Coturnix japonica: one gene and its partners. The protein of the gene in region 4 interacts with the protein of the main gene of each other region in a pairwise test. Links are inferred from orthologs where the notes say so. Each region holds a gene or a part of one and is shown on either strand. Other genes may lie near its edges.

Region 1 (4,982 bases), on a different chromosome or scaffold from region 4:
TGTATACAGGTGTGCCCTGATTTCCTCCATCCACTCAGAGGCTGCTCCACCTGCAGGTTAACATACCCAGATTGAGCCTGGATGCTGCAGGGAAGCAAAGGCTCATTGGGAAGAGCTTTAGCATCAACCTTGGTTTACAGCCGTTCCAATTACAAAACAACAATTACAAATAGGGTTTCTGAGGTAGCAGAGCAAACTGAAAGCACCCCAAGTCCACAGCCCCAACATCCCCCTCCCACAAACAGGAATGAGCTGATATCATCCACAACTTGCACATCCCAAAACTGCTGAGAAACGTGGCTGCTAATGAAACCTCTTGAAATTCAGCATAGAAGCCATTTCTGTTGGCTCTAAATGGGCACGACACCCAAACACAACAGCCCTGCAGCAGTCAGGTCTGCAGGTCACAGCAGTCTATGGGTCCCATGTTAATCATTGAGCTCCAGGTCGTACTCAGGGTACAGCTGCTTCGTAGTAACCCCTCGGATAACAGCTAGAAAAGAAAGAAATTCCATTGCTTTCATTAAGAAGAGAACAAATAGGTCAGGAAAGACTTGTGCCTTCCTCCCAGTAGACTGTATGTATCCCACAGAACCACCCACAGCCAAGGAACCAAAGATTTCCAGCTGTGCCCCCACTTGGTTTTGTTAAGGAAGCTGAACACTGAGGATTCTTTGAAACAAGCTTTGCCTTTAAGGCATCAATATCTCTTTATATAACAAGATTTGCTTCACCAAGAGCTTCTTCAATAGTTTTCTTACCCAGTTTGCCCAGCAGCATCTGCCCAGCATCTTTAATTTCATTATACTCATGGAGCAGAGAGATGTGCTTCTCCAATTCCTCCACATTGTACCCTCTGTAACAAAGCCACACAACAAAACCACTGCGGAACAAAGCAATATCTGAGGTGTGCAGAGCCAGCCTGGTCAAACCCATCATTGTTTAGAGCAATGATTTTGGGTTGGATAGCAGGAAAAACGCCTTTCTCAGAGTGGTGGGGCATTGTACAGCACAGGGATGGAGGAGCCCCTATCACTGCAGGTGTTCTAGAGCCATGGGGACGTGGAACAGAGGGACGTGGAATAGAGGGATGTGGAATAGAGGGACGTGGAATAGAGGGACGTGGAATAGAGGGACGTGGAATAGAGGGACGTGGAATAGAGGGACGTGGAATAGAGGGACGTGGAATAGAGGGACGTGGCAGTGGGCACAGGGTGGGGATCAGAGCTCTTTATCAGCCTTCATGTCTCTATGATTAACCCCCACCACCTCATTCAAACCAAGTGTCCATGGCCTCACACAGACCAAGGGAAACGCTCATCCAGGCAGCTGGGCAGCGGCCTCAGCTTGAGATCTCAGCTTATATACATCAGCAGCTCTGTTAGCACAACGTGTGCTGCCATCAGCTATAGAAACACACCCGTTACTTCCCAATGTACATCAGCAGGGGAGCTCAGAGCCTGACCAACACAGCACTGGGGAAACAACGGGGAAGGAGCTCCCTGCTGCCGTGCATGGATCCCATAACCCTTAGGATGGCCGCGGTACCGGGGCTGTACCGGGACAATAACGGGGCCGTAACGGGGCTGTAACGGGGCCGTACTCGGACAGCAGCTCCGCGATCTCCCGGTCCAGAGCTCGCTCCTTCTCTTTCAGTTCTTCGATACTATCGCACGATGCTCCGCCCGTTGTGCGGGATGGGGCCGGGCGCTGCGGGGACACGGCGCGTCATGGCGGTTATTGAACGGCACCGAGAGGAGCCGGGGGAACGGGACGGGATGGGACGGGATGGGCGGCTCACCGGGGATCTGAAACCGGCACCACCGCTCCGCCGGGAACCGCCGAGAGCCCTGAAACAGCGCGGGGAGCCCCGAGTCAGCACATAGAACCGAACCGAACAGAACCGACCCGTTCCGCTCCTACCTGCGCTGCGGGGGCGGCGCGTTGCGCCCCGAACCGGGACCGCTCTGCTCCGCCAGGGCCGCGGCCTGCACCGGCAGCACGGCACGATGGGAACCGGAACGCGGGGCTGCGATCATCCGCCGTGGGCGGGCACTGAGCGGGGCGGGACCGGCCGCCATTCACGGCCCAGACCGGGCGGAGGGGCCCGGCCGAGCCCAGGCCGCGGGGTGGGGCGGGTGTCGGGGCGGGTGTCGGGGCGGAGCTCTGCCCGAGCACAGCGCCGCTCCACCCGGCGGCTGACGTGGCCCGGGAGCGGGGCGGACATGGCGGACGGCAGCAGGCAGAGCAAGTTGGCGGCGGCCAAGAAGAAGGTGAGGGCGGGGGGTTGTGCTGGGCCGTGTTGTGCTGTGTGGGGCCGTGCTGTGCTATGTGGGGCCGTGTTGTGCTGTGTGGGGCCGTGTTGTGCTATGTGGGGCCGTGTTGTGCTGTGTGGGGCCGTGTTGTGCTGTGTGGGGCCGTGTTGTGCTGTGTGGGGCCGTGTTGTGCTATGTGGGGCCGTGTTGTGCCGTGTTGTGCCGTGCCCGTAGCGTTGCGGTGAGGCCCGGCCCGGTCCCGCAGCTCCTTGTCGCCCCGGTGGGGCCGGGCCTGTGTTGCTGCACTGCTGCGTTCTGTGTGTGCCGCTCTTTCCCGTTCGGGTTTCCTCTCCATCTCCCTCTTTTCTTCTCCTTTTTCCCTCCTTTCTTTTCCCCTTTCTCTTCCCTTTTTACCTTCTCACAGCTCGGCCCGCTCCGTCCCATCGCGATGCCCTCCCGTGTCAAAGTCAAACGAATGGGAAAGTGCCCCGGAGCAGCTCGGGCTCCATTTTGAAATCCTGCCGAGGATCCTTTTCGTTCCGGTGCTTTTCACCTTGACGTTTAAGCTCAGCCCCGCGTTCCATGGGCGCTCACAGCCCCGAGCTGCGGCCATTTGTGCTGCTCTGAGCTTCTCCTGGGCACAACGGCCTCCAATTGAGCATCCATCGCAGTGTGCTCATCCCCGCAGTGCTGGCAGTTTAGGGGGAAGTTCTTCACTAGGAGAGTGGTGAGGCCCTGGAACAGGCTGCCCAGGGAGGTTGTGGATGCCCCGTCCTTGGAGGTGTTCAAGGCCAGGTTGGACGGGGCCCTGGGCAACCTGATCTAGTAAATGTGTATGTTTGGTGGCCCTGCCAGGCAGGGGGTTGGAACTACATGATCCTTGAGGTCCCTTCCAACCCGGGTCATTCTGTGATTCTGTGCCTGTATCAGTGTGTTACCTGCAGGGCTGTCGTTCTCCTAAAGCTCTTTCAACATTCTTGTTCCATCTTATTATCAGACTCCACTTTTCCAGTTTGCATCCCATGTTATCGTTCTTTTTCCCTCGTTGCTGTTGGTTACAGATTTACAAACGTTGCTTCTTGCAGCATCAAGTTGTTTCCTGGGCACTTCCTTAGTTGGACAGCACTGACAGCTCTCGGTCTGTCACAAACCCATCACTCTCATTCTCCCTTTTGGAGCCTTTGAACTATTTTTAACGTATATCCATCTTTAAGGCCGGTTTCTCTTGTCCTTACAGCTCAGCTGACTCCTTACCCACTGGTTATGTTGTCATTTTCTTGTTGCCATTCCCTTCACAGAGGACATCTTCCATTTGGACTTCACATTAATCTTTTCTTTCCCCGCAGCTGAAGGAGTATCAGCAGAAGAACAGCCCTGGAGCGACTGCGGGAGCCAAGAAGAAACGAAAGAGTAAAGAAGGAAGTCGGCCTGAGACTCCCACAAACGACGGCCGACAGTCTCCAGAGAACGTGAGCGTCCCCCCCTTCCTCCCACGTATCCCCTCTGCCTCCAGCTTTGGTTTCCCAAACAGCACAACTGCAGCTGGGGGAGGGTTAAACAGTGTAATGTGAGCGGCTGAGGAGCCCCTGTTAGCAGCCTGTGAGTCAGGGTGTGTGCTGGAGCAGTGCTGGAGCGTTCAGAGCTGTAACGCAACCCTGGATGCACCCCGAGCTGCCTCTCCTCGGGGGCTGGGCGATGCCCGTTTCTTTGGCTGCCTTTGATGGACGTTTTTCTCTCTGTCCTTTTCTGAGCCGTTTCTCTTTTCCCCTTCTCTTTCGCCTCCTTTAGATTCAGAACATTCTGAAGGTGCTGGTGTCAGACCTTAACCGCTCCAATGGGGTAGCCATACCCTCATTGGACAGAAGGAAGGTGAGGCAGTGCTCCGTGTCCCTCTCACTGACTCGCTGTCCCCTCTGCATGCTTAACTTATGTTTTACACTGTGAATTCAGATGGAGCCTTGTTCTGGCATGTCTGCTGTTTTTATTAACACGGGGCTGTTTGTTAACATGCGTTTCCATCGCTTGTAAGTGCTTGTTTCCTCCTGTTTTCTGTCAAAAAATGCAAATATGTCACCCATGTCCAGTGCACGTCCCTCAGACAGCCGAGCTGGAAGGCAGAAAGGAGCAAACAGAGTTTGGGGTGAGGCAGTAAACCAAGTTAACTGCTGAGAGACGCTGTGTTAGGGAGGAGTAGTGCTTTATTCATGTGTATTTCTCCTGGTCTGTGTTGTTTTATTCACTTCAGTGCTGTGCTCCTGAAGGGCGAGTTTCTGCTCATGCCTGCCCTGAGCAAGCCTTTAGTTATTCCAGCCGCCCCATTTTATGACAGGTGATGAAACCTGCACAGGTGATGTACAGTCTGGCAAGTACCACAGTTCTAAATGTGCTTAGGCAGGAAGTCGGGTATTTCAAGTACTGCATTTACAGGCTTGAGTGTCTTCCCTCACTCCTGGGGGAGGAAGGGCAGGAAGGAGTCTGCTGAGCAATGGAAGTGTGTTCAGGTGCTAACTGTGCTGACAGGAGGACTCCTGTGAGCTCTTCATTATTTCATATATATTTATTATAAACAAACCTTATTTCATTACTTACTTCAAAACTGTTCACTGTGGAGGCAGAAGGAAGGCATCCTTCTGGTCGTCTCATTGACTTTTGCATCTTGAAGTGTTAAGTGAAAAGAATGTTCCAATCAGAACAAATGCAGGCCGTGTTTTTGAGATGTCCATGCGA
Region 2 (4,929 bases), on a different chromosome or scaffold from region 4:
TTCAGTCTGTTGCTGTAAACATCATCTTCAGGCATTCTTGTACATCTTTGACCACTGTTTAACACATCTTTAAAGGATGTGCTTTACTGTCCTTATATACAAGCATTTATGTTATATTTAAATATGCGTATATATATGAATGTATACATCCTGTATTTCAGATATACTGAAAGCAATAATAGATCAGGTGCTCAAGTAATTCCTCTGCTTACAAAGGGATGGAAGTCTCAAGCTCTGTCCTGGCAAACCCAGGGTAGCTGGAATTTGTCTGTGGTCATTCAGAGATCCATTGAAAGAGGCTCTGAGTTCAGGTTTTGGCAGCGGGGAAGTTACCAACTGACAGAGTTCTCGCTTCATCTACTCGACTTTTGTGTATCTGGAAGGCAGGGGTCACCCAGTGGCCACAAGAACACTGCTCACCCCACCAGCTAAAGGAACCCAGCTTAGATGTGCATTTGGGACACAGAAGCTGCAAGAAAAACAAATAATCCATTGTAAGATACATGCAGATGTATTCTATGGTACATTAAGCTACAGCAACCTGCACTAAAGCCAGCACTTGTAGCATTTCACAGAAGTTAAACAGTCTGAAAAACAGGACAAAGAAAAACACCAAAAAACAACAGCTGTATAGGCACAGCTGGAGCTTGCCAATGCCCCAGTGTGTGACAGGCAGCTGTGCTAGCAGAAGGGAAGACATGGAAATGCAGCTGCTCAGACCTGGTGTGGTTCCAGAACACTTGCCAGTCTCAGACATCAGAAAGCCTTGGTCAGCATAAGACCAAAATGGATTTTTATATGTCTCATAATCCAATATACTAAAAACAACCAAAACCTGTCAAATATCCTTCCTAGCATACTCAATCCAACAAGATCACCAGCTCACTTCCTTATACAGGGATATTCTAACATTTGAGAACCTGTTCATAAGCTGCAAAGCTGATGCAGGAGAGGCTGGGAGACCTAGGATGTTGCGTGGGGGCCTTCGCATCAAGGAACAGCAACAGTTTGTTTTACCTCAGCTAAGATATCCAAAAAATGCATTCACCTGTCCTTCTGTTACTCCTAGCAGTGCTGGCTCCATCCACTGCACAGGCTCAATGAAGTAAGAGGTGCACTTAGCAGGGCCACTGCCACGAAGATGCATAGACTCCGTTATTCTCTTGTGAGCAAAGGCTGTTGGTCCACTTCCTTCCATGTGGGACAAAATGCTGGAGCTACGGAACAAAGCGCGCCTGTTCTCCGTGACAAGAGGGGGAAAAAGGGTGAAACACTTATTGGTGAAGCTTAGAGAGCACAGGGACAAGGACCTTATCTTTCCATAGGCAGGCACTGACTCCATTTAGGGCTGCATCTTAACAAATCTTACAATCTGCATAGCCCTGGGCTCTGCTTTACCACTGTATGCTACAATATATGACTGCAGAGCAAGCAGTATCATGTATTCAAGCAAAACTACACCCGCCTGCGTAATGTGGCAAGTTAGGGTGCACGAGTGCTGCACAACTTTGAGTTTTGTATTTCATCATGTATTTGTGCTTGTTTAATTGCTGTGACATGCGTTGTAGGGAAACTTACACAAGATCTTATCCCTGTTCCAGAAATAACGACACGGCCTCTGATTGACACAGGTTATTTTCCTCTCAAGATCATTTCAAAGTGACATTTTGTGGGAAATACAAAAGGTTCAGTACCTGCATTTCCTGCATCTATAGAGAACTTCTGTGTTTGGAGTCTGGTGTGTGTTGGTTGGATCAACAGCAAAGACTTCTTGGGGTAAGTCTTGAAGATCTGCAGAGGGGACAGAGTTGTAAGTCAGACTGATAAAGGCACTGATGTCCCATGCTGTCCTCATGCAGCACACCAGACACAAGGGGTCTATCTGATCCACAGCCAGTTGAATACAGCTACAAGCCACAGCAGCAGGGCTCAGAGGTCATGGATCACGGCATATAACTTAAGACTGGGAACTGTCAGAATTTAAAGCAGCTGCACATCAGAAAGTGGGCGCCTGGTGCTGTCCAATGCAGCATGAAGCAGACCGCATGGCTGCCATGGGCACATCTGCATGTGAGCACTTAGTACCCTGCTCAGGAGCAAGCAGTAGGACTCACAGAATCGTCTGAGCTGGAAGGGGCCTTTGAAGGACATCCAGTCCCTACCCCCTGCAGTGTACAGGGACATCTGCAGCTCCATCACATTGCTCATACCAGCTCCATTCTGACCTCGAACATCTCTAAGGACGGGGCACCCACCACCTCCCTGGGCATCCTGCCTCATCCCAAGCTCAGGGCTCAGTAACACGGTGTGGCTTTTGGACAAGGCATCCCCAAGCTGCCCCACTCACCGGAGAACCTCTCCGTGAGCACCTGCAGGCGATGCTGCTTGTACAGGGCACTGCTGCTGTCCACGACACAGCCCATGGCCTCGTATAGCTTCAGCTGCCTCTGGAAGCCCGGGTTCACCCTGCGGTACGGGAGAGGAGAGCAAGCTGAGACCGGGCCCGTCCGGCTGGGGGTGCCGGGTTAGGGGCACTCACTCAGCGTCGGGTTTAGCGGCCCTGACGGCGGCGTAGGCCTCCTCCCAGCCGAGCCCCTGGGTCTTCATCAGGTACGCGGTCACCACGGCCACGCTGCGGCTCACTCCGGCCTGGCTGCGGGCGAAAGGCGGAGACGAAGCGATGGCTTAGAGCAGCTCGGGGCGGCCGGCCCCAACACACCACACCGCACCACCAACCCCGACCCTCACCACCGCACGAGGACGGCCCCGCCGCCCGCCCGCGCCGCGCCGATGAAGGCAGCGCACTCATCCAGGCGGCTCAGCAGGTCGGCGCCGGGCTCGTCCAGCGCCCGGATGTACAAGGACTGCAACCCCGGCACCGGAGGCGGCTCCTCCGCGTCCACCGTCAGCACCGCCATCACCCCGGCCGCCTCCAGCGCCTTCGAGGACGAGCACGACTCCGCGCCGCCCACGTAAAGCCCCGGCAGCACCGGCACCATCCCGCCGCCCCGGCTACGGCTCCGGTCCCGCCCATAATGGCGGCTTCCGGCGGTCCCAAGAAGGGGGAGGTTCACAGAATCACACAGTATCACAGAATGACCCGGGTTGGAAGGGACCTCAAGGATCATGTAGTTCCAACCCCCCTGCCTGGCAGGGCCACCAAACATACACATTTACTAGATCAGGTTGCACAGGGCCCCGTCCAACCTGGTCTTGAACACCTCAGCCCAACAGCCAGTAGAGGCAGCGTGGAGCTCCAGCCCTTTGCTGGCAGAGCAGTGTGGGAAGCTGAAGTGTCCTTGGCTCTCTGCAGCGCTACAACTAAAACATACATGTGTTATCAACGCTATTCTCATCCTAAATCCAAAGCACAAGCTGCTGGGAAGAAAATAATCCCAGCCAAAAGTGGGACGCTCTCATAGATGAGAACACGGTGTGTTAGCAGGATACCTGTGCAAAACATTGCCATGCAACACATTTACAGCTTGAAGTGAGATGTAACTAACAGTTGCAGCAAAATACTATGGTGAAACATTGAGTTATTCAAGTCTTGAGGGGTTGAATAAAGTCAGCAGGCGAGTACACCTTAGTGAAGGGACTATGTGTTTGATGGCAGGGACATATTGTACAGGGATTGGATGAGTACTAAGAGGTGGTTAATTGTGTCTGTGGGCCTTCAAATGTGAATTTGTGGGGGTGAACAGTAGCATCTGTGACTGTTTTTGCAATGACGAAAGCGACAGACAGAGTTGAGGCGCAGAAGGGAGTGGTGTGGTGCATCAATTCCCAGAGCTGGGGATGCTGGGGGAACATGAAAAACCTACAACTTCAAAGTGAATATCTGTGGTGGGGGAAAGCCCCTGGGCAGCTCTTTGTGTCTGGGGTTGTGCTCCCTAAACAATGCAGCCGTTTCTCTTCGCCTCCCTTTGCTGTGCTTGCCACCTGTAGCTTGAGCATATGGCGATGGATCCCGAGTTTGCTCACAGCTCTCAAAATAGAGTCAATATTGTTTTCGGTTTGATTGAACCTTCCCCACCCACCTCTGCCTCCCCCCTCTTCGGTTTTTGTCTTCTCCTACGCCACTGAAATTTCTAACCGTTTGTTCTCCCCCGGATTCTGGGAAACTGTGTGAGTAATGAAGCAAGCTCAGGTGCAAAGCAAAACAAACTGGAGGGCAGACTGCTGCCCACTGCCTCCAGTAAGAATGTTCCATCTCAGCATGTGCTGCAAGGGAGGGCCTGGGCCTTCATGGAAAGGAAAATCCTTGTGTACACATGAACTATTTCATGAGAAGAAGAGTCTGCAGCCTGTAGATGACACGTGGCAAAGCTGTGCCCTGGGAAGTGGTGGAATCACCATCTCTGGAGGTGTTGAAGAAATATAGAGATGAGACGTAACCGTGGTGTGGTGGTGTTGGTTGATGATTGTACTAGATGCTCTTAGTTGTCTTTCCCAACCTTAATGACTCTACGGTTTTATAATTCCAAGGGCTGATAGGTGAGGATATCTTGAGTTATTCACAAGAGTCAATGACACTGAGCTTCTGTGTCCTCCTCAGATCTGGCAGCCCTCTCTGGAGCTCCAACAGAGGATTTTTCAATAACCCCCTATTGGTGGGACGTTTCTATCTGTCTCCATGCTCTTAGTACTGCCAACATGGCTGTTACTCTTCATGTCAAACAAAAGGGAGAGTTTCTCAGTGGCACATTTGATGCTCAGTTACAGAACAGAGCATGACAGTTCTTACTACCACATATTAATAACTCCCCTTCACTTTATGGCTTTAACAGTTGGAGCAACCAAGATTTATGGTAACACATAACCTTCATCAGCGCAACCCAAAAGAAGGCTAATTTGATAGTGCCAGGCTCATGCAATTGCCCCTGCCCTTAATCTCTTGTCTCGACAGTGGGGCTTTGTTTCCACATT
Region 3 (4,489 bases), on a different chromosome or scaffold from region 4:
CTTTTTTGAGTAAGCATTTCAGTTTACTACATGGGTTTTTGCCAGTGCACTCTAAACAACAGAGGATATTTATCTAGTATATTTGGCACACTGTTTCTTGTAGTAAGTGCTCTGTCGGGCTTATTCTGAGTTCCCACTCCTGTCAATTTCAGAGTGGAGTATTTATTATTTTGATTGCAACTGGAAGCAAAGCAGATCTTCAGTTCTGAAACTTTCAAGCTTCTCTTTATGTACAAAGCAATATGGTATTTGGACAAGTAAAAAAGCTGCTTATGAATTTTCTTGTTTCTTGTATTTGCTTCTGTACATTGATTTAGTGCCAGAGAAGGTGAGATAAATCAGAATGTTTTTAGGTCATGAAGTTGCAAAGTTTCCTTTCGAACTGCTTGAGGAAATCACAAATTATCTACTGCTGAAGAGAGTGATTTAAACTAGAAAGGACATGTCTTTTGGCAGCATCAGCTGAAACTGAGGACACTTGAGTGTTCTTTATGGAGCAGCTTATGGGACTCTAAGCAAATACGTTTTGTAAAAACAAACAGCAATGAATGTATTATGCAATGCTAGAAATACGTGTCAGTCTGTTTATGGAGCAGCAGTATAAATTCCCATGTACATTGTTCTTCTTGGGTCGCCTCGCAGTGTGATGGTTCGTGTCAGAATTATGATATATTTGTGCTACAGTTTATATTTGCACAGGAGAATGCAATGGAACAGAACTGTCTGTAATTATTATTTGAAGGGTGAATCAACTTCCTTTGAAACATACACTGCTTTTCTGTAGGCAGAGCTCATTGTTGTCCTCAGCAACATTTTTATTAATGCCATACAGTGATACTAAGTTGAGGACAAGTGGCAAAACAGTGTCTGGCAATCCTTACTGCTTTCAGTGTTCTGTCCTGAAGAACAGAGATAGTCTAGAGGAATGTAGAGCTCACCATGTCAGCCTGATGTCCTTTCTGAGTCTCCATGCTTCTGGATTTTGATGTTGGCACTTGGAGGCATTTTTATTTGTTTGGAAAACGGGGGAAAAGAGCAACCCATAAAGTAAGTTTGTATCAAGCTCTTTTGGAAATACTTTGAGTCTTGTACTTAGTACTTCTAGTACTTCATTACAACTTGAAAACAGTCAGTTGCATAATATACAAAGATAAGTGGGATGGGCCTGTGAAGAACTACACGTTTAGAACCTCGGCTGGGTTTACCTGTGCTTCCATCTGGAGCAAAAGAGATGCATGCTGTCATTTGCTTGGGAGTCGTGGAAAGTCCCACAGAGTTACTGGGGGTGAGCTAATGATGCTCACAAATTCTGACTGGAATATGCATGATAAGTTTTTATTTAGCAGGAGTGGTTATGATGAGGGATTCTCTATCTGTGGTGGTGCTGTTTTCTGTTCATGACAACTTTTAGCACCTGCTGTGTTAGTAATCCTGAAGGAGTTCTCTCTAGGCAATATATCGTGCAAAAGAATTCTTTGTCATGTATGTGTTTTAGATTAAAGCATTCTAAACCAGTCTTTTAATTACTTCAATTAAGACGTTTTTAGGCTGCTTGTTTTAGCTTCCAGTTAGAGTGAATGGACGTACTAGTATAAATAGTTGATGTGTCCTTTTGTTTTCAGCATGGCTTTTTGTCACTTTGAATTTTACTACAAAACAGCTCCATCTTAAGCCTTTACTTGATATGCAGCTGTTGCCAGTTGAGCAGCGTATCTTGCAGAGTTTGGAAAGATTAGAGAAGTAACTTTTATGCAGTGTATTTACACAGCATATTCTTATTGTTACCTTGATTGTCTTAGCAGTGCAACTGTACTTATGGGCTTTCTAACAGACATGATTTATCTTTCTCTTTTATAGAAAGTAGAAAAATAGAGAAGACTAATTAGTTTACTAGCTTTTCTATCTTCTGTAATGTTCACCAGCTACTGAGTTGGCTGATGTGTATTTTCTTATCCTAAGTGACATAGTTAACAAAAGCGGTCTGTTTCATATAGCACTGTCCTCTAAAGTATGACCTCATTCATGTTTAGGCTTACTGCTAATAATTGTTCTTAATGTTTCAGATTACACCTGAAATGTTACCAAACTAAGCTGGAATGGAATTCTCAGCATTTACCGAATGATACTATGTAGTTGTATCTTACATTGTATCCGGATTGTGCTCCTTCAGTTGGTCCAATGCCTTTTATGTTTCTTGTAACATTGTTGCTAGAGAATGGAAATAGTTTAGGATATTGTAGCTATTCCAGTTGCGCAGTAGTATCTCTTTGTATCAGAAAACCCAAACCTTAGAAACAATATGCAAGTGCAATAGAAACAGGCTTTTCTCTTTGTTGAACTGAAGGGAGGTTGTAGTGAGCTGGGGGTTGGCCTCTTCTCTCGTGTAATCGATGATAGAACTAGAGGGAATGGTTTTAAGCTGCGCCAGGGGAGATTCAGGCTGGACATTAGGAAGTATTATTTCTTGGAAAGGGTAGTCAGGCATTGGAATGCACTGCCCAGGGAGGTGGTGGAGTCACCGACCATGGGAGTGTTCAAGAAACGTCTGGATGTTGTGTTGATGAATGTGATCTAGCTGGGAAGTATTGGTGATGGTTGGACTGGATGATCTTCCAAGTCTTTTCCAACTTGATAATTCTGTGATTCTGTGAACAGGGTTACCCTAACTCATGTAATTACCTGGAAAGACAGAAGAAGGTTATCATAGTACCGTTCCAGTGTATTTTATTGTCACTTTATAACTGTTTTAAGCATTGAAACTTAAGCCTGCTTATCGTGACTGTACAAATGTATTGGCTTTAGAAATCTGAAATGAATTCTTTAAGAAATTCCATCAAGTGTTCATATGAATCCACTCTTGCTACATCCTAGGATTTAATGTATTTACATTTGTCTGGTTTATTTCAGGAATTCGCAGCGCTTACAAAAGAGCTAAATGTATGCAGGGAACAGCTGCTTGAAAGGGAAGAAGAAATTGCTGAACTGAAAGCTGAAAGAAATAATACAAGGGTTAGTTCCTTGTCTTCTCTCCAAGATCGTTGGTTTTCTAGCATCCAATGAAATGAAGGGGGGGAAAAAAAAGGATATTGAGTTAGAAAAGCTCAATGCTTTCTTACCTTGCTATTTGCACAGGGGTAATTCTGGGGGTGCAAATGTATGTTAAGAAGGCCTGGAAGCTTATGTATGGCTCCAAATATTGCTGTGCAGAATCAGGAAAAAGGCATTTAAGATCACAGTACTATCTGTTATTCAACTCTCTTCTAGTTACAGATTTGAAAATATATCGTGCTCAAGATTAGAGGAGTTGAGTGGGCAAGCTGTAGTGGTCTTTTCCATCAGATTACACAGATTCTGCCAGCAGAAAGTTAAGGGTATTTCATTTGTATGTCCTTCAGACAAGCATGCTGTTCTTCAGATTAGAGGAAGAACTGGAAAGGGTCAGTTAAGTAGAAACCTGATTTTAAAACTACATAGAGTATAGGGAATTCGTTAGCTCTGATATCACTTCTAGTATGGGTGAAATGAATGAAATGTTAATAAAATGCATCCTTAGACTTGGTATAATTAATGGTTGCTTGAAATTTAGACGTCAAAATGCCATGTTTTTGGAGGCACAGTTTTCTGTAACTCTGTAGAATGGGAATAAAAATTGTTGCTTTTTTTTTTCTTTTTTTGTAGCTGTTACTGGAACATTTGGAGTGTCTCGTCTCCAGGCATGAGCGGTCTCTCAGAATGACTGTCGTGAAGAGACAAGCTCAGTCTCCAGCAGGAGTTTCTAGTGAAGTAGAAGTTCTCAAAGCACTAAAATCTTTATTTGAACACCATAAAGCCCTTGATGAAAAGGTAATAACTATGCTGCTTCATGTTTTCCTTCTTAGTGTAAACCATACAGTTGTATATACTTGTTATATTAAAGTGGAGACCGTACTAAAATACTGTCAATAACTGTGCTCCCAAGATAAGGTGTTATATTGCAGTAAGCTTATTCCATCATTCTGTCAAATGTGCTAATATTGCATCCAAACCATGCTTGGTTTATATATTTGTTGGAGCAAAGCATGTTTGTTTACCTGTATAATATCAGGATTTAGTCTTTTAATTGTGTAATACAACAAGTGGACTAGAGAGAACAGGAGGAAAGAAATCTGCTTACACTGAGCTATTAAATAAAGCTGATTTAAAGGAGCTCCGCCCTTCAGCTGTACCTGATGTTAGAAGCAGGCAATGCAAATGGTGAAACTTATTGTGAATTTTGCTGCCAACTCATAGTTTGCTGAACTACTTTTGTGAATTTGTATATAAAGTCTTGCAGGTTATTTTCAGGAGATATATATCCTTTCTTCCTTGTAGAGAATGAGGAAAAGCACACATGCTTTGTACCTTACAAAAGGGTGGGTAAATTCTGGATTTGCTTAATTCTTGCCTATGTGTACAGGTCATGCTGGAATATAGTATGCTAATGATTGAAAAAAGAAGAAAAAACTAGATT
Region 4 (4,284 bases):
AGTTAATGCTTTCTAAAGAATAATGTTGCAGGCAAAGGACTTGCTAACATTTTCTATCTGCTCTTTTCATTTTAGTACCCTCCGTGAATTTCCAGTAGGATGTTATTTATTATTATTTTTTAATGTTGTCACGGGTTACCTAGATTTACCTGTGTCAGGGGCAGCCGCCCCATAGAACCCCTGGCCCGAAAGGGAGGGGAAAAGGGGAATGGGAAAAGAAAACAGCAGCAGCAATCTAAGGAGGAAAACTTATTTTACTAAATACGATATCGGAGTACAAGATTACACAATATAATATAATATAATTGAGGCTAATAAATTGAACAAAACAGAGAGAGAGTCCCCAAAAACCGAGAGGCTTACTGTGAACTCTAGGTGACACAGCTGGAACGCTTCCCACTCTCTGAGAGAGAGAGAGCTCCAGCCTGGGAGTGAGATTATGTATGTCCTCCTCCCGTGACTTATCTCTGGCCATGAAATCCTCTGGGATACATAGTTCTCTTCTGAGAGCTGAGTATTTTGGACGTTGTTATTCTACGGAACTCGAGTATTAACCTTTTAATGATCCATACTGCACATGATGTTACGATGTGAAATACTGACAGCAACATTACAAAACCGTGACAAATTTGTTCATAAACTAATCTAAAATACTGTGGCCAGACCATTAGTCTGACTCAAAAAGTAACTGAAGCTTCTTGTTTTTTCCTGTTTGAGGCTTAGGAAGAAGAGGAAAATTAGTGAAGAAGATGAAAACTCCAAGAAGCCTAAACTGGATGAGGTCAGTTAATGTTCTGTACAAGTAATTACTTTTCTGCTCAGTAATAACTGACAAAACTGACACACTGTTGAGACAAACTCCTTCATCTCATTACAAAAGTTGCTCAGAATATTTTTCAAGTTAGTTTTAGCATCTAATGTAAATCTCCCTTCTTTATTTGTAAACCATTTCCACTTGTCCTATTGCTACCAGACCATTTAAAGTCTGTCTCCCTCATGATTATGAACTCATTTGAAGTACTGGAAAGCCATGATGAGATTTCTCCCGAGTCGTATTTTCTTAAGGCTTGGCATGCCTATCTCACTCAGCCTGTCTTCATGGGAGAGGTGCTCCAGCCTTTCCTGTGCTCAGGGCCCCAGGCCAGCACATGGCACTCCAGATGAGTAGGCCATTCCAGTGGCCTTCTGTGATGGGAGTGATGTCATGAATAGGTAAAGGGCAACTGATGTCTTCTACCTGCACTTCTGGAAAGTCTGATGTTGTCTCGTGGTGCATTCTTATTTCTAAATTGGAAAGATACAGATTTGGAAGGTGGACTGTTGGATGGATAAAGAATTTGTTGGGTACATTTGGATGTGAGGGACAGGATGTCTCAGGAGCAAAGGCAAGGAAACTATGCACTTAGAGTAGCACAGAGGGTGATGGGTTGTATTCACTGTACACATAGGCATCCATTTTAGATAATCCCTGTAAGCAGGAAGCAGAAACTCCCTAAGCAAGTGCACTCACTTTACTTTCTGACCCTTAAGAGATGGCAAGGGGCAGAAAGGAGAGAGAAGGAACGTGCTGATGGTAGATTCAATGGGTAGTGCCAGCAGGGTATCCCCTGCTTCAAGGTGCACTTCTCTCCTCCACTGCAGCTGCTCTCCTGCTTTTATTCTTCTCAGGGTTTTCTTTTTTCCACCTGCAGGCTGTGCCTGTGTGGCCAAGAGTGATACAGAGCACAGGTGGAATACAGAGCAGTTACAAGCAGGGCATGCAGGCTCTTGCTTTTTACACTTGCACAGCTAATAGTGGTGACTATGTTGAAAAATAGTGTTTTTTATCAGTATTTTCTCTGCCAAATAGCATTATTGTGCTCTTTGTATCTTTTGTATTTCCTTGGGAGTAAGTGGGAGGCATTGTTTTCATAGCGGCAGACGTACATTTGGTGTGGGACTTGAAGGAACTTGTATTTCTAGTTGGAGCTTGGTCTTACGTGTTAACTAAGAATGACAGTGCTTCTTGCTGGTTGTCAGGAGCAAGAAGGGCACTGTCAATCATTAATGTGTTTCTTTTCTACCCCTATATTTTGGAACAAATGCATTCCTCTCAAGTACATGAAGCACGTGTTTTGAAATCAGTTTAAGCTTACTGTGTAAGTCATTTACATGCAGTAGACACAGTGTGGAGATCAATGTGTTGGTTGTATTACTTGAACTCTCCTTAAGCAGCATATGTAAAAGATAATACTGCTACTATATGCAGTGCTGCCACATGCACAGTTCTGTATTGCTTGGTCACCTTACTGTAAAATGACAAGGTTGATTTCCTTCCCTTAGGAAGAATGGACTGATGAAGATGTTGTGGATTTGTGAAGCCTATTCCTGTGCTTACTGTTCTGTGGCACACTTGAACCTGCCTGTAGAAGATTCTGTAGGCTGAAGCATGAGGTATTTTTATATGGTTTTTAATTTCCTCAAAATAAAACATTTATTTGAAGGTTTAGTTGATTGTAGCTCAAGTTTTGGTTTAGCAGCGCCTTCAGATGCAACTTAAGAACAGGGTTACAGCACAGCAGTACATTATGTCCATTCTGGCGTTTAGCAAAGTGGTTAAATACAAGTGCAATGCAGATCTGCTAATAAATTCTGAAGTACTTGAGAGCAAGATCTGCTGCTGTGCTCTGCCCAGGCTTGTCACTGAAACTGCTACGAGAACATAACCTTGCTCATAACATCTCGTTGTGTTTGAGAAGCTCTTCCCAAGTGTACTAAGGGGCTGCAGGCAAATTACTTATCATACTAGAAGTTATGTTCATGGTTTTGTGACTTGTCTCCTGCTCTGTTTCCTCTTCCTGTAGCTTTGCTCTCAGACCAGCTTGCTGTGACAAACCCTGTTTGGGGCACCCTAGGAGAATAATTTAAAAGATCTTCCGGAGTAGTTAGTTACATTGTTTCTAAATTTAGGCGGAACTATTTCCTTTTAATATGTTGCTTCAGAACACGTGCAGCTCAGAATACATTGAGCTGAATGTAGCTCTGGGTTTTTCCTAGCTTTGTGTTCATCATAGTTTGTTTATTTTTTTTTTTTATTTTTTAAATTCATATAAACAGATGCAAATCTGTTCATCAGAGCTGTGTTGTGTTTTTTTTCTTTGTTAAGCTGCGTTATGCTGCTAATACCCAGCCAAGCACATTTAAAAGACTTCCCACTCAAGGCAGAATGATATTTCATTCTTTGGTAACAGTGCCAAAGCTGTTCTTCTTTCCTGACTGTGCAGCCTATCATAGCTTCACCTCAGAGGGCCTGACCATTAACACACTACCTAGCAACTAAAGGAAAAGTGATTTAACTGAAACACCTTTTATTGTGCCATCCTTACTATGTTCTGAGCTGGCTTGTACCCTGCTAGCAGAGCATTTAGAAAAAGGAAAAAGTTACAAACTGGTCCTGTGACTTCTGTGTTCTGATTAATCACCTTACTGCGTTACATAAGCAGGAAAGCCTAATAATGAAGGAAACTTATTTTAAGTAAGTTATTCCTTAACTTTTCCTCTGACATGCAATTTAAAATTTGGACTTGAGCAGACCAACAGACCAGCCAGGTATTTTATGGAAGGGGATCTAAAAAAAGAACTCTTTAATACCATATTCTTGCTAACAGATTGATATCATTATTAGTCTGTAGCAAGAGTGTGCTTTTATCTCTGCCTTTTACTTCTACCTATAGTGTATATCCACACAATCACTAAGGTTGGAAAAGATCTCTAAGATCATCTGGTCCCAGTTACGCATTTCTGAACTACAGGGATGTGGTTCAGGGATGGGGATTCCCAGTGCTTGCCTAGGCAGCCATGACCCCTCGTCCTGACAAAACCTTTTCCTGACATCCAGCCCTAACCTTCCCTGACACAACCTGACGCAGTCACTAGTTATGTGGGATAAGAGGCTGATTCCCACCTTGCTACAGCCTCTTTTCAGGGAGTTGTGGGAAGAAGTGTGGTCTCCCCTGCTGCACCTCCTCCAGGCTAAATGTTCCTAGTTTCTTCAACTACTCCATGTAAGGCTTGGTGCTCTTGCCCCTTACCAGAGTTGTTGCCTTTTCTTGGGCACATTCATTGCTTCTGTGTCCTTCTTTAGTGAGGGGCCCAAAAATGAGGGCTGAGTATAGGTAACACTCCTAGCTACCTCCTAGCTGCAATACTTCTGATGCAAGCCAGTATGCTGCTGGTCCTTTTGGCTGCGAGGGCACACAACTGGCTGTCAGCACTGCCATATTCTTTTCCACTCTACAGCTTTCC
Region 5 (4,105 bases), on a different chromosome or scaffold from region 4:
TTGGCAGCAGCTCGGTGCTTCTGGCAGCACCCAAACCCACGAGCTCCATGCTGTGCCCTGGGGGGGACCTGCCCCCATACACAGCCCCATTTGTGGTCTCTCCTATGGGGTAGGGGGCAGAAGTGCATTCTGTTCAAAACCACAGCCCCTGTGCATCCATGAGGTCGAGCAGTGCTCACGGGGGGTCCACTTTGAGCCCCAAACTCAACAGCCCCCACCATGTGGCTGGATGGGGACTGGGACCGCATAAGCTTGGGACCAAGAGCTGCCAGCCCTGAGCAACCCCAATGGGGAGAGGATGTCAGGGATGGGGCTGAGGGTGCTGGCACAGCGCTGGTGAAGCCCTTGGCTCCATCCCCACGTGCTGCCCGCCGCACCCTGCCCTGTGCCGGCGTGTGGGAACAGGCTGAGAGCGAAACTGCAGCGCAACGCCGAGCTCAGATCCTAATCGGGGCCGCCAGCGCTGCTGGGCAGAACTCGAATCAAAATGAGACTGACAAAAAAGAAGGAATAATAATCCCAATTCTTCCAGTACAGCGTAAAGGGAGAGAAAAGAGCCCCGGTGGGATGAGCGGAGAGGGTGGGGGACATGGGGATGGGTGGTGGAGAAGCCTTAATGGGGATCCAGTGGGGTTTGTGGGTGTGGAGCTGCCTTGGGTTTGGGGATGTCCAATGATGGTTCAATGGGGGGGTTGGGGTTGAGTACTTGCAAGTGCCAGGGCAATTCCCCCTGAGCAGGCAGGGTGGAGGAGTTGGGAATGCCCCAATCCCAATCCTGGCCCTGATCCCTGCAGCAGTGCTGGGGTAACGTGCTGCTCCTCCTGCCTCGATTTCCCCACCAGTGGGAATAAATACCAGCCCTTCAAGCCCTTGCAATCACCGACAAGTTAATCATCATATAAAAATGACAGCGATGGGATTTTTGGGGAGGAGACCATTTTTACAGCCAGGTTTATTCCCCGTGCTGTTTCTCTAAGGGTGGTTGGGATGGGGGCACTGGGTGCTGCCGCTTTCCTGCTTCACCCCAATGTGACGACCCCACTGCTCCCTGTTCTGAGCACTCCTGGCAGATGGGGAAGGGTTCCCCCATTGGTCCATGGTCCCCCATTGATCTGGGATCTCCATTGATTCCTGGTCTCCCATTTATTTGGGGTCCCCCATTGATCCGGTTTCCCCCATTAACTCAGGGTCCCCCATTGATCTGGGGATCCCATTGACTGATCCCAAGTCTTCCAAGTATTTGGGGTTTCCCATTGATTTCGGGATCCCACTGATTCCAGGTCTCCCGTGGGTCTGGGTATCCCATTGATCCAGGCTCTCCCACTGGTTCAGGCTCCCCCACTGATCTGGAGTCCCCACTGATTCTAGGTCTCCCATTCATTTGGGGTTTCCCATTGATCCGGGGTCCCCAGTTGATCTTCCCTCCTCCATTGTTTCAGAGTCTCCCACTGACATAGGATGTCCCATTGATCCAGACTTCTCCATTGATCCAGTGGGACATCCCATTGACACAGGGGGGGCTCACCATGAACTCCCTGAACACATCCTCTCCCTCCCGGCACCCACCTGATCCAGGGCAGGGTGGGTGCCACCCGCTCACCCCTTCCCCATCACCCTGTGCCTCGGGGCATGATGACTCACGGCAATTTGCTTTTTAAGGGCGGGCTCTGCGGGGAGGAAGCAGAGGAGGAGGAGGCCGCTCCTTCAGCCTCGTTGGCTCCTCCTGCTCTTGCTCGGGGCTCCGACGCTCAGCCAAAAGCGAATCGGGGCGGTGAAGCTCAGCAGAGGCTCCGACGGCTCCCGGCCCCACTCCTCGTCTCATCCTGCTCCTCATCCGCCCTCAGCCATGGCAAGAAACCACCAAGTGCAGAAAGCCAAGCTGGCCGAGCAGGCTGAGCGCTATGAGGACATGGCGGACTTCATGAAGGCGGTGGTGGAGCATGGAGACGAGCTGTCCAACGAGGAGCGCAACCTCCTCTCCGTCGCCTATAAGAACGTGGTGGGCTGCCAGCGCTCGGCGTGGAGGGTCATCTCCAGCATCGAGCACAAAACCGAGGAGGGAGACGACAAAGCGCAGCTGGTGAATGAATACAGGGAGAAGGTGGAAGAGGAGCTGAAGGGCGTCTGCAACGTGGTGCTGGGCTTGCTGGAGAAGCACCTCATCAAGAAGGCCGGAGATGCAGAGAGCAAAGTGTTCTACCTGAAGATGAAGGGAGACTATTACCGATACCTGGCTGAGGTGGCCTCCGGCAACGACCGCAAGGAGACGATCGACAGCGCCCAGAAGGCGTACCAAGAGGCCATGGACATCAGCAAAAAGGAGATGCAGCCCACGAACCCCATCCGCCTGGGGCTGGCCCTCAACTTCTCCGTCTTCCACTACGAGATCGCCAACGCCCCCGAGCAGGCCATCTCGCTGGCCAAGACCACCTTCGACGAGGCCATGGGGGACCTGCACACGCTCAGCGAAGACTCCTACAAGGACAGCACCCTCATCATGCAGCTGCTCAGGGACAACCTGACGCTATGGACAGCCGAGTGCGCGGGTGAAGACGGCGGCGAGGCTGGCGAAGAGCCCAAGAACTGAACGGCCCCCAATGCAGCTGGGGTCCATCCCCCACCTCCTTCCTCCTCCCCTCCCTCCCAGACTCCCCCCCCTTTCCCCTTCCCCTTCCCGAAGCCCTTCGGTGTCTTTTCCTTTTGTTTTGTTCCTTTTTTAAGGAGTGGGGAAGGTATTTCGCCCCCCCACCCTTACCCCCCCTCCAGTTCTGGGAGTGGGGTCCATATGTTTGCCCTTTGGCAGGGCCTCCCCTTTCCTTCTCCCCCCCCCCATGTTCTTGTCATGCTCCCCTCACCCCTTTAACACTTTGTTTGGGGGATACCCCAGCGTAGCTTAGGGGGGGCCCTAGCCCTCTGTCTTGGGGGGCTAGAGCCGTGCCGCTGGTCCCTTGGGGGCAATGGGAGGAGGTGATGGGACGGGATGGGGAGAAAGGGGAGGGGGGGGGTTGATGTGCCCCCCACCCGGATGGAGGATTGCGAATTGCCGAAGCCTCTGTGTGGCTCCAATAAACCATCTCGTGCACGTCTGCCTCTGTGGTCGCCTCATCTCTCCTGTCGTGCACAAGCCCAGGCAGCTCCTGCAGCTCCCACAGCCGGTCCCATTGCGTGCCACGCCATGCTGGGGAGCACTCGGGGCCTCCAAAGTGCAGGTCTGGCTGCCTGCAGCCCCTCCCAGCCCCGCCATGGGGTGTGGGGGTACTCAGCCAGCCCCAGACCTCAGGGACGGGTCTCAGAATGGGCTTTCTAGGTGGGTTTTCCATAGGGAGAGTATGTCCCAGGTCTCCAGCCCTGCAATTGTATGTCCCCATTCCCATGGTGTCTCCATCCCTTTGGTTTTCCCATTCTTGTACTGTCCTCATCCCCAAGATGTTCCTATGGTGTCCCCACCCCCATAGTATTTCCATCCCCGTAGGGTTTCCATCCCCATGGTGTCCCCATTCCATAGTGTCCCCATCCTCATAGTGTCCCTATCCTCATTATGTTTCCACCCTTATGGTCTTCCCATCCCTATGATGTCCCCATCCCTACAATGTCCCCATCCCCATCTTGATGTCCCCACCTCCATGATATCTCCATCCCCATGGTGTCCCCACCCAAACCACGCAACCCACAGTGTCCCAAACCCCATTACTGGGGCTCCGTGCAGACAGGGGGATGTTTCAGCTCTTCCCCTCCAGCACTGACACGGAGCTGTCACAGGGGAGGTGACAGCATCCCACCGAGGTGAGGACATCCCCATGGAGGTGTGGATGTGCCGGCGCTGGAGAAAGCTCAGCACTTCTGGCCCTGGCTCTCAGCCACAGCGAAGGGTGCAGCTCTGGGAGCGCGAGTTTCAACACGAACAGTTAATTACACTGAAATCCAGTCCTGGCAGCCTGGGCCGTGAGCTCATCAGATGGAGAGCAGCAGGGCTGGGCCGTGCTGGGCAGGACCCGGCTTTGATGGGAAATGGGGTGGCAGGAGGAAGCCGAGTGACTCAGGGTGTGCCGGTTCAACGGGGTCTTCACTTGGGGACATTGGGGACATAGTGCTGAGCTGTGCTTTG

What was found.
Region 1: the proteins of CCNH (region 4) and GOLGA2 interact in binary tests that used the Homo sapiens proteins (3 or more experiments, as listed by UniProt). The link is inferred for Coturnix japonica from reciprocal best matches to the Homo sapiens genes CCNH and GOLGA2.
Region 2: the proteins of CCNH (region 4) and DUSP12 interact in binary tests that used the Homo sapiens proteins (3 or more experiments, as listed by UniProt). The two-hybrid records come from large-scale screens. The link is inferred for Coturnix japonica from reciprocal best matches to the Homo sapiens genes CCNH and DUSP12.
Region 3: the proteins of CCNH (region 4) and PPFIA1 interact in binary tests that used the Homo sapiens proteins (3 or more experiments, as listed by UniProt). The link is inferred for Coturnix japonica from reciprocal best matches to the Homo sapiens genes CCNH and PPFIA1.
Region 5: the proteins of CCNH (region 4) and SFN interact in binary tests that used the Homo sapiens proteins (3 or more experiments, as listed by UniProt). The two-hybrid records come from large-scale screens. The link is inferred for Coturnix japonica from reciprocal best matches to the Homo sapiens genes CCNH and SFN.

The regions. Positions count from the first base shown.
Region 1 is NC_029532.1:3,734,893-3,739,874, forward strand, and holds the start of GOLGA2 (golgin subfamily A member 2), read left to right. Parts: upstream 1-1,920; 5' UTR 1,921-2,009; coding exon 2,010-2,273; intron 2,274-3,601; coding exon 3,602-3,724; intron 3,725-4,043; coding exon 4,044-4,124; intron 4,125-4,982. Other genes in the region: DNA repair protein SWI5 homolog, read right to left, coding at 429-493, 762-856, 1,560-1,666, 1,721-1,732. UniProt on the Homo sapiens protein: Peripheral membrane component of the cis-Golgi stack that acts as a membrane skeleton that maintains the structure of the Golgi apparatus, and as a vesicle thether that facilitates vesicle fusion to the Golgi membrane.
Region 2 is NC_029516.1:70,998,376-71,003,304, reverse strand, and holds the start of DUSP12 (dual specificity protein phosphatase 12), read right to left. Parts: upstream 3,056-4,929; 5' UTR 3,000-3,055; coding exon 2,749-2,999; intron 2,654-2,748; coding exon 2,540-2,653; intron 2,467-2,539; coding exon 2,348-2,466; intron 1,792-2,347; coding exon 1,695-1,791; intron 1,236-1,694; coding exon 1,049-1,235; intron 470-1,048; coding exon 308-469; 3' UTR 1-307. UniProt on the Homo sapiens protein: Dual specificity phosphatase; can dephosphorylate both phosphotyrosine and phosphoserine or phosphothreonine residues. Can dephosphorylate glucokinase (in vitro).
Region 3 is NC_029520.1:6,956,296-6,960,784, reverse strand, and holds part of PPFIA1 (liprin-alpha-1), read left to right. Parts: intron 1-2,907; coding exon 2,908-3,009; intron 3,010-3,678; coding exon 3,679-3,843; intron 3,844-4,489. UniProt on the Homo sapiens protein: May regulate the disassembly of focal adhesions. May localize receptor-like tyrosine phosphatases type 2A at specific sites on the plasma membrane, possibly regulating their interaction with the extracellular environment and their association with substrates.
Region 4 is NC_029547.1:54,313,613-54,317,896, forward strand, and holds the end of CCNH (cyclin-H), read left to right. Parts: intron 1-717; coding exon 718-781; intron 782-2,322; coding exon 2,323-2,358; 3' UTR 2,359-3,114; downstream 3,115-4,284. UniProt on the Homo sapiens protein: Regulates CDK7, the catalytic subunit of the CDK-activating kinase (CAK) enzymatic complex. CAK activates the cyclin-associated kinases CDK1, CDK2, CDK4 and CDK6 by threonine phosphorylation.
Region 5 is NC_029538.1:1,604,909-1,609,013, forward strand, and holds SFN (14-3-3 protein sigma), read left to right. Parts: upstream 1-1,693; 5' UTR 1,694-1,846; coding exon 1,847-2,587; 3' UTR 2,588-3,086; downstream 3,087-4,105. UniProt on the Homo sapiens protein: Adapter protein implicated in the regulation of a large spectrum of both general and specialized signaling pathways. Binds to a large number of partners, usually by recognition of a phosphoserine or phosphothreonine motif.